Linked DNA regions of Diceros bicornis minor. The protein of the gene in region 1 interacts with the protein of each later gene in a pairwise test. Links are inferred from orthologs where the notes say so. Each region holds a gene or a part of one and is shown in the gene's direction. Other genes may lie near its edges.

Evidence for each region. The genes of interacting proteins can lie anywhere in the genome.
Region 2: the proteins of ADAMTSL4 (region 1) and CREB5 interact in binary tests that used the Homo sapiens proteins (3 or more experiments, as listed by UniProt). The two-hybrid records come from large-scale screens. The link is inferred for Diceros bicornis minor from reciprocal best matches to the Homo sapiens genes ADAMTSL4 and CREB5.

What each region holds. Positions count from the first base shown.
Region 1 is NC_080743.1:54,979,143-54,982,891, forward strand, and holds the start of ADAMTSL4 (ADAMTS-like protein 4), read left to right. Parts: upstream 1-1,101; 5' UTR 1,102-1,210; intron 1,211-3,503; exon of another isoform or gene 3,504-3,637; 5' UTR 3,638-3,705; coding exon 3,706-3,746; intron 3,747-3,749. UniProt on the Homo sapiens protein: Positive regulation of apoptosis. May facilitate FBN1 microfibril biogenesis.
Region 2 is NC_080742.1:53,090,885-53,094,633, forward strand, and holds the start of CREB5 (cyclic AMP-responsive element-binding protein 5), read left to right. Parts: upstream 1-1,461; 5' UTR 1,462-2,744; coding exon 2,745-2,747; intron 2,748-3,749. Other genes in the region: uncharacterized protein LOC131399887, read left to right, coding at 1-383. UniProt on the Homo sapiens protein: Binds to the cAMP response element and activates transcription.

The sequences.
Region 1 (3,749 bases):
CTTTAAAATACTGAGTAGATCCAACAATACATGACTGTGGTTCATGAGTAAATGGCAAAAAAAAATTAAAAATAGTAGTGACCATTTATTGTCTACTCATGTCAGCCATTTGATATACATTATTTATTTTTTAACATAACTGATAACACAGATAACGCTTTTGGTTAAAAATTCAAACAACATATAAGCATATAGAGTAAAAAGTGAAAGCCTGTTTTTCCCTCCCCCAGCCCCACACCCCTCTCCAGGTGTCACCACCAATTCCGAGTTTGGGTTGCATTCTTCCAGACATAAATAAATAGAGAGACATATCTCCAGACCCATCATATCTATCAGATTGGCCCCATTTTACAGATGAGGAAACTGCAGCACAGAAAGGTTGAAGTATTCATCCAAGACCATAGAGCTGGCAAGTACTCGAACTGAGATTCAAATCTAGATCGTCTGACTCTTAAGTCAGCGCATTCCTTTCGCTACGTTCCCGGTGTACAATTTTATGGATGAAGAAAGCGAGGCTCACAGACGTCCCCGAGCAGTCAGAACCATGTGGTTCACAGCCCAACTTGGGAGAGGCAGCGATGTCTGGGCTTGCATAAGAGGCTGCGTGGAGGAGAGGGCCTCGACCGACGCGGATCTGGGGTCGGGCGGGACCGTCTCGGGACAGAGCGCAGCCCCATCTGGGGCCCGGCGCTCAGCCACGCCGCTCGGGTACAGGCGCCACCCAGCCCCTTGGTGCCCCTCGCGGCCGCCCCGCCTCGGCCCGCGCAGCGCTCGCACCGCCCACTCGGAGCCGGTCGGAGGGCCGGGGTCCCGGAGTCCCGAGCGCCGATCCGGCCCAGCGCACCGGCCCAGGGACAGTGCCCGGGAGCGACGGCTGCCTCCGAACCGGGCTGGGACCCCTCGAGCCATCGGCGGGCGCCCGGCACGCAGGGGTGGCCAGGCCCGCAGCCCCGGCGTGGGTGGCCCTGGGAGCAGGGGGTTTGGGGTGGGCCGCCCCCACCGAGGGCCGCCGAGGGCGCGGGCTGGGCGCGTGGCGGGCGGGCAGACAGGCGGGCGGGGCGGGGGCGGGGCGCCGGGGCGGAGCCGGGCCGGAGGCGGCCGTGTCCGGAGCCCGGCTCAGGGGCCGCGGTGGCCGCCGCGGAGCAAGGCTGCCTCCAGAGAGCGCCCGGGCGCAGAAGGGTTAACGGGCCGCCGGGGCCGCGCAGAGCAGGTACAGACCCTCCCTGGGACCCCCGGCCCCGGCCGCCCCCTCTCCCCGCCCGGTTAGACCACCCGCCCCGCGCGCCCGCGCCGCCGCCGCTCCCTGCGCCCTGCGCCCCGAGGTCGGCCCCCAGCCACGACCCCGGCCCCAGCTCTTACAGCCTCGGAAGATCTTCCAGTCCCTGGGGTCGAATTCCTGGGGAGGGGGTTCTGATCCCTTGGAACTCTGGCCCCATCACCCAGGCGGAGAATCAGCCAAAATTCCTACTAAGTCACATAGTAAAAGTTGGCAAACATACTACTCAGGACCTTCCTGCACGCGCCTCCTGCGCTCCTCTAAGGATGTGTGCCCCCCGGGACCCCCTTCAGTCCTGGAGTTGGGGGACGGGCGCTTGGAGGGATGCAGGTGGGTGCCCTTGATCTAGCTCAGACTGATAACTAGAAAGGATGGACACCTGTTGGGATAGTCCTCCAGGACCCAGGAGTGGAGCACACTGTGAGGAACAAGGAGTTCTGACCCAGGATGGGGACTCCATGCCAGCCCTGAAACATGCTGTCCAGTCTCCTCCCTTGCAGCAGCGACCCATTTCCCAGAAGGAGGTCCCTCTGGGGGTGAAAGGTTAGCCCTGCCCAGGTCTCCTCCTTGATCCTCAGTGGCCAGTGTGGAGGTATGGCCAGGAGGGGCACAGGTTTGTCTAGACCAGTGTCCAGCCTGGCACCAGAGTAACCACTTCTGATCTCTCCTTCCCTCACCAAGGGCAGTGAGACACACCAGATGAGGGACATGAAAAGGGGTGAAAGCACAAACGTGTGTCTGTTTGGGCAGTGGGGGGGGTGTCGGCCCCCTGCCTAGCTGCGCAGGAGGGAGGTGGGACTGTTCCAGAGAGGGAGCCAGGCCTGGCTGCGGCCTCAGGAGCTCACGTCACCCCCATCCCCCACCCCTCACTTCTCCAGGGAACTGCCAAAGCCAAACCCAGCTCAGGATGGGATTATGTGTACTGGGTAGACCCATAGGAGAGACAGCAAGATATAGACCTGGGGGAGCGGAGAGAAGCAGAGGCAGAGAGGCAGTGGAGAGAGGACCCAGCAGCAGAGAAGGGTCAGACAGTGACCATCACCCCCATCTCTCCTTCCCTTCAACCTCAACTAACAGTCAGGCAGAGAGCTGAAGGTTTGGGTGGAAGGTTGGCTCTTCTCTGGAGCCCCTACCCTCCACCCCCTCCATCAGGGCAGAGTTGCTGACCTCAGTAGCCAGCCCAGCGAGAGGAAGGAGCAGCCATCAGCAGCCCCCTTCCCAACCCGAAGCAGCTGAGGTGACCCTGTGGGCTCAGGCTCAACCACTGTGATCCCTCCCTCAAATTCTCAAGTCCCCGGGTCTCGGGTCTCGGGGTGTGGGTTGCTACCCCCAAGCACATTCCTGCCCCTCTCTCTGTCATTTTTCTGCCCCTGAGCTGGCCCACCTCCGCATTAGCTCCTTGGATTCCTCTCCTGGGTGCCTTTCAGATCCAACAGAAACATTTTTTTTTTTTCCTGGAAAGCAGAACCAAGAGCGAGATGAAGGGTGGGGGTGGGAAGAGCTCATAGTGAGCAGGAAGGGGCTGGAGGGCAATGGAGGGTGGTGGGGAGAGTCAGGCTTTGAGACCAGGGGAGAGTTCCAAGCTCCACTTCCCCAATTATCAAAGCTGGACTTCAGGATGGACTTCCCGGGGACCCACGACGGGCAGCTCTAGCTGCAACTCTGCTTCCCAGGTTCCCCCAGCCCATCGTAGTCACGCCTGAAATAAGCCCTCATTGAACCAGTGCCGGACGCTGGCCCCTAGAGGGAGGTTAAATCGCAGTGGGAAAATCACCTACTTCTTTAAAGATTAAACCATCAACCCACTTAGTTTATCCCTTGGCTAAAAGTGTTTGAGGCAGGCAGAGATGTGCCTGAGTGTTCCAGAAGGAACTTAGCTGAGAAGGGAAGAAAAAGCTGGGAGCAAGTAGGAAACAGAAAGCCCAAGGGACTTCTTTTAACTCCTCAGAGGGGCTGTTTGGCATGTTGTCACCGGAGCCTCCCCCTTCAACTTTCCAGGACCTCTGGGAGGGCAGGAGGGGGAGTCAGATGCAAACCATCTTAAGAAGGATGCGTGTGTGCCTGAGCTGGCCTACAAACAGTCCCTAGCTGGGACTAGGGAGGAGCTGAGAAGTTCCTAAATTGAGGGGAGGGGCCAGAGCCTGAGTTGGGAGGCTGAGGTCAGACCCCCACCCTCTAGCCTCAGCAGATGGACAAGGGCAGCATTCCTTCTTGCTCTCACCCTTAGGATCTTAAAGGGGTGGAGCAGTCTTCCCCCACCCCTCCAGCCTCAGTCTGAGATGTCCTTCTGAGGAGTCATCCCTCCCAACCCCCAGCTTTCTGGAGACTGGAGAGGTAACCACCAGGCTTCTGTCCCTGCAGAGTGCACCCCCTCCACGCCCAGATGCCTGAGTAGTGTGTTTACTTCCGGTCCCCTCCTCCCTTGCCCCATGGCAACCAAGGGAGGAGCCATGAAGGAGTGGGCGGGCAGGTA
Region 2 (3,749 bases), on another chromosome or scaffold:
CGTCGCCCTTGAACGGCACTTGGCTTTCGCTCCAGGCGCGGAAGGCTCGAAAGTGGCGAGGCTCTACTCGCGTTCACTCCTCCAGCCGCCTCCTGCCTCCGTCCGGTTCTCGCTGGCATCATTACCTCTTCCCCGCCGCTGCCTCAAATGACAGCTCTCGCTTTTGCCGCGGCGGCGCGGTGGCAGTTTCCAGGAGCCGGCGGCTGGAGCCTTCCTCTCTGGCAGGTTCTCCACGGAACCGCTTAAACTTTTCGCGAAGTTCTCAGAGCGGCAAGACGTGCGAAGGAACCAAGGAGATGTTTTTTCTCGGCATCTGCATCCCGCTTCTTCTTTGCCATAGATTTATTTCCGGGGGCGGGAAGGGGGGTGTATCTGGTAGATAAAGCCCCAGACCTTGCCCACCTCCTCCCCAACTTTTCTTGAACGGGTACTGCACTCACTTGATGCTTGTTCAAGGCCAGGCACTGGAGTGGGTGCTTGTATGTTTCGTTGTCGGAGTCCGCAGAGTGTGCTTGATTTTTATTTTTCCCTCCCTCTCTGACATGTGTCAAGGAATAAAGGCTGGATACAGGTCCATTACGTCATTCTGCAGGCCAGTAAGTGTTTGATTAACAGCTTCAGATACTCAAGGGTTCGGGGGCTTAGAAATGCTGACAAAGCAACTCTGCTTTCCATCCCCAGCCCCCAACATACTCGTACAATTGCCTGTTCCCTGGGCATCTTTATTGCCCTCTCCTCCCGGACCCCTCCTTCTCCACTCCCTCTCCCGCCCGCACCGTTATCACTCTGGCCCCGCCTTCCCCTTTTACTGCTTTCCCTGGGGCGATCACTGTCCCTGGAGTGTGGGTAAGAGCTTCTGGCGTCTGAGGGGAGCACAGTACCTGATCAGCGCACACACAATCTGCCCTGTTCTATTATTTAAGGAAGGCACCAGCAAGCCCTCTTCTCTAGGGCGAAAATGCTCAGCCCTGATAGAAAAGGCATCTTAGGAAATGTTTAGAGACGTTATGATGATACTGTGTCCCTGTGGTGACTTAGGAAAACGACACACCCACTGCAAACAAAGTGCTTAATTCTATAGAGCGCCTTCCTCCAACCGTTTAGCCGAGGAGGGAAGACGAAGGGAGGATGCTGACTAAATCAAATTTAGCTGAAAGGATCAAGATTAAACGTTTCATTTCCAAAGTGAGGGAATGTGAGTGTTTGAACTCAAAGTACCATACAATAAATTGGTGCGTGTGTTACTTTCTTTCTCTTAACCTTAAGTTTCTGTATTTAAAGAGGATGTTAAATACATAAGTCACTGAATTGAGTCAGAATCTGCGTATCTGGCAGTTGAAATAACAACACTGTGTAACATATTTAAGGGATAAAAATAAAAAGAAATCTTAGTAGTGGGGGTGAGTGTGCAGCAGAAATCAAATAAAAAATTTACTAACAGGGTTTTGGATGGAGGGGGGTCAGAAGATTTGGGTGCTTTCTGATTTGGAGTTAGTGAAAGCTAAATAAAGGAAAATTTATGTTCTGAGTATGTGGGAATTTCTTGATGAACACATGTCTTGTTATAATCAGATCTACTTTCTTCAAAATGAAAGCTGTGCTGTAGAGTAGGCATTTGTGAAACTCCTGCCTGGGGTCTAATTGACCTCCTTCCCCAAGTTTGTGGCAGTATTTACTATTTACTAACATCTAGAGGTGAAATACTATAACCCCACACAATCCATGTGCATCTAAAATGTGAAACATCTTGTTTGTGATGCACAGACCTAGAGGAAAAAATGGCCCGGGTCCCCGGCACTGGAGAGTGTGATTAATGATCAGTGATTTAGTGATCAGTGATTAGTGGTTTTATTCAAACTGTTACCTCTGACCAGAAGCACACATCAGAGGATTAACAGGCTCTTTAGATAAATGCTCATTAGTGGAAGGGGAAAAGCAAAGATAATAGGCATGCACCCAGGGACAACTTTCGAAGAAAATCATTCCCGTCTTCAGAATAATAAGCTCTATTAAGAGAAAGCCCTTTTAATTTAAAACTTGCTTTTATCTTGTAAATCAAAGTTAGATGTAAAAGTTTGTAGTGCCATTATAACCTAAATTTTCCCATATCCACTAGATGTGGATTATCTCAGTAGCGATATTTTTTTTTTATTTAAATAAACAATTGGACCTTTAGAGCAGCTGAACCCTGACAAGTTCTTAACTCCCAGGGTTTGAAGGTGTCCCCCCTTCTAGAATGGAGAGTGCAACTTGCTAACTAGATGGCGCACTGTTATTTGGTGTGCTGTGCTGTGTGGTGCAGGAGTCTGACGGAGCAAGTAGCTGCTTGCGAGGTGTTCTTCAACACTTACAACAAAGTTGATTCTGTGTAGGGTTGGAGGCTAGACGGTTCTACAAGTTTTTAGTCACATTTTCCATGTCAGTTAAATCTAGGGTGTTCAAGGCTACTGGAAAAATTAGTCTCATTACTAAAAGAAACTTAGGGAGCGAGGGAGGAAAGGAGGGACAGGAGTCTAAGAGGTACCTTTGGGTTGCAGAAGTGATTGTAAAATACCAGATCTGTTCTTTTTTTTACTAAGAGCTAGTTTCATAAGCTTGTGGTCTGAAATCCTGAGGCAAATACTCAAAGATTTATTTTCTTCCTCATCTTGCTGGTGAAAAAGGAGTTACTAGAAAGAAAGGAAGAAAAAACTTGATTTGGTGACTGCAGGAAGCAACACGTTGCTGATTTTTTTCTACAGATAATGGTAAGATGATGTTTACTACTCTTATTAAGCAGAAAGGGAACTTTACAACTGGTTAAATGAGACCAATCTTGTATTTTCATAGATGCGATTTGGAAATGGAATTCTTATTTTGCACTGAATCTTAATGTTGCTTTTGTCAGTTTCCTGGGATTTGGTAGCATTTTGTGTGGAAGGTTGTCTGTGTGTGTGTGTGAATAAGACCATTATTTCCCTGGTAAAATAAGGTTCATGAGCATGTGAACGGCAGTGGGGGAGCTACGAAGCATGTTAAATAATGTGTCAGGTAAGAATTCCTTTTTCTACGAGCTTTCATGAATCACTTCAATAAGTACTTAAGTTTTAGTAAGGAAGGCATTCTTAAAAAGAAACCTAAAAATTAAAAATCAAACAAAAAAACCCCATTCTCCACTTCCAAACCTAGATGTGTATTCCCCCGAGGAAGGATGTTATTGAATCAATATCAGCTATTACTTGAGTTTTAAAACTTAGAAAGAAAACAATGGATGAACTTACTTGTGCCTCCCTATAAATTTTTTCATTTTCCTTTGCTTGTAGCGTTTTATATAGATCCATTATTTTTAAATCCCGACTGATTCATAGCAATTTTTATTTTTCAACTTTACTTAAACATATTTGCTCAATTCAAGCCAACTGTTTTTAATGTAAATTGCTGATATCTTAAATTGCCTGTCAATTGGAAGTCAGTTGTGACCTTATATAGTTTATACATGAGCAGATGGTTTATTAGAACATTCCCACAAAAATGTGGAAACAATGCCTTTATTTCTATCTCTGTAATGTTGCAGCTTTTATTTGAATAGGTGGCTAAAGGAATGGTAGCTTGTCAGACTTTTCCTGTATAGCTTTTCAAATATAGTAAGTTGAAGATTTTTGTTACAACTATTTGTCAGTTTCCCACACCTGTAGATTCAAAACGAATCAATCATGGACTTTCCATGACTCTTTGTGCTAATATCAAGTTCCTGGTCTCCTGATTTCTTA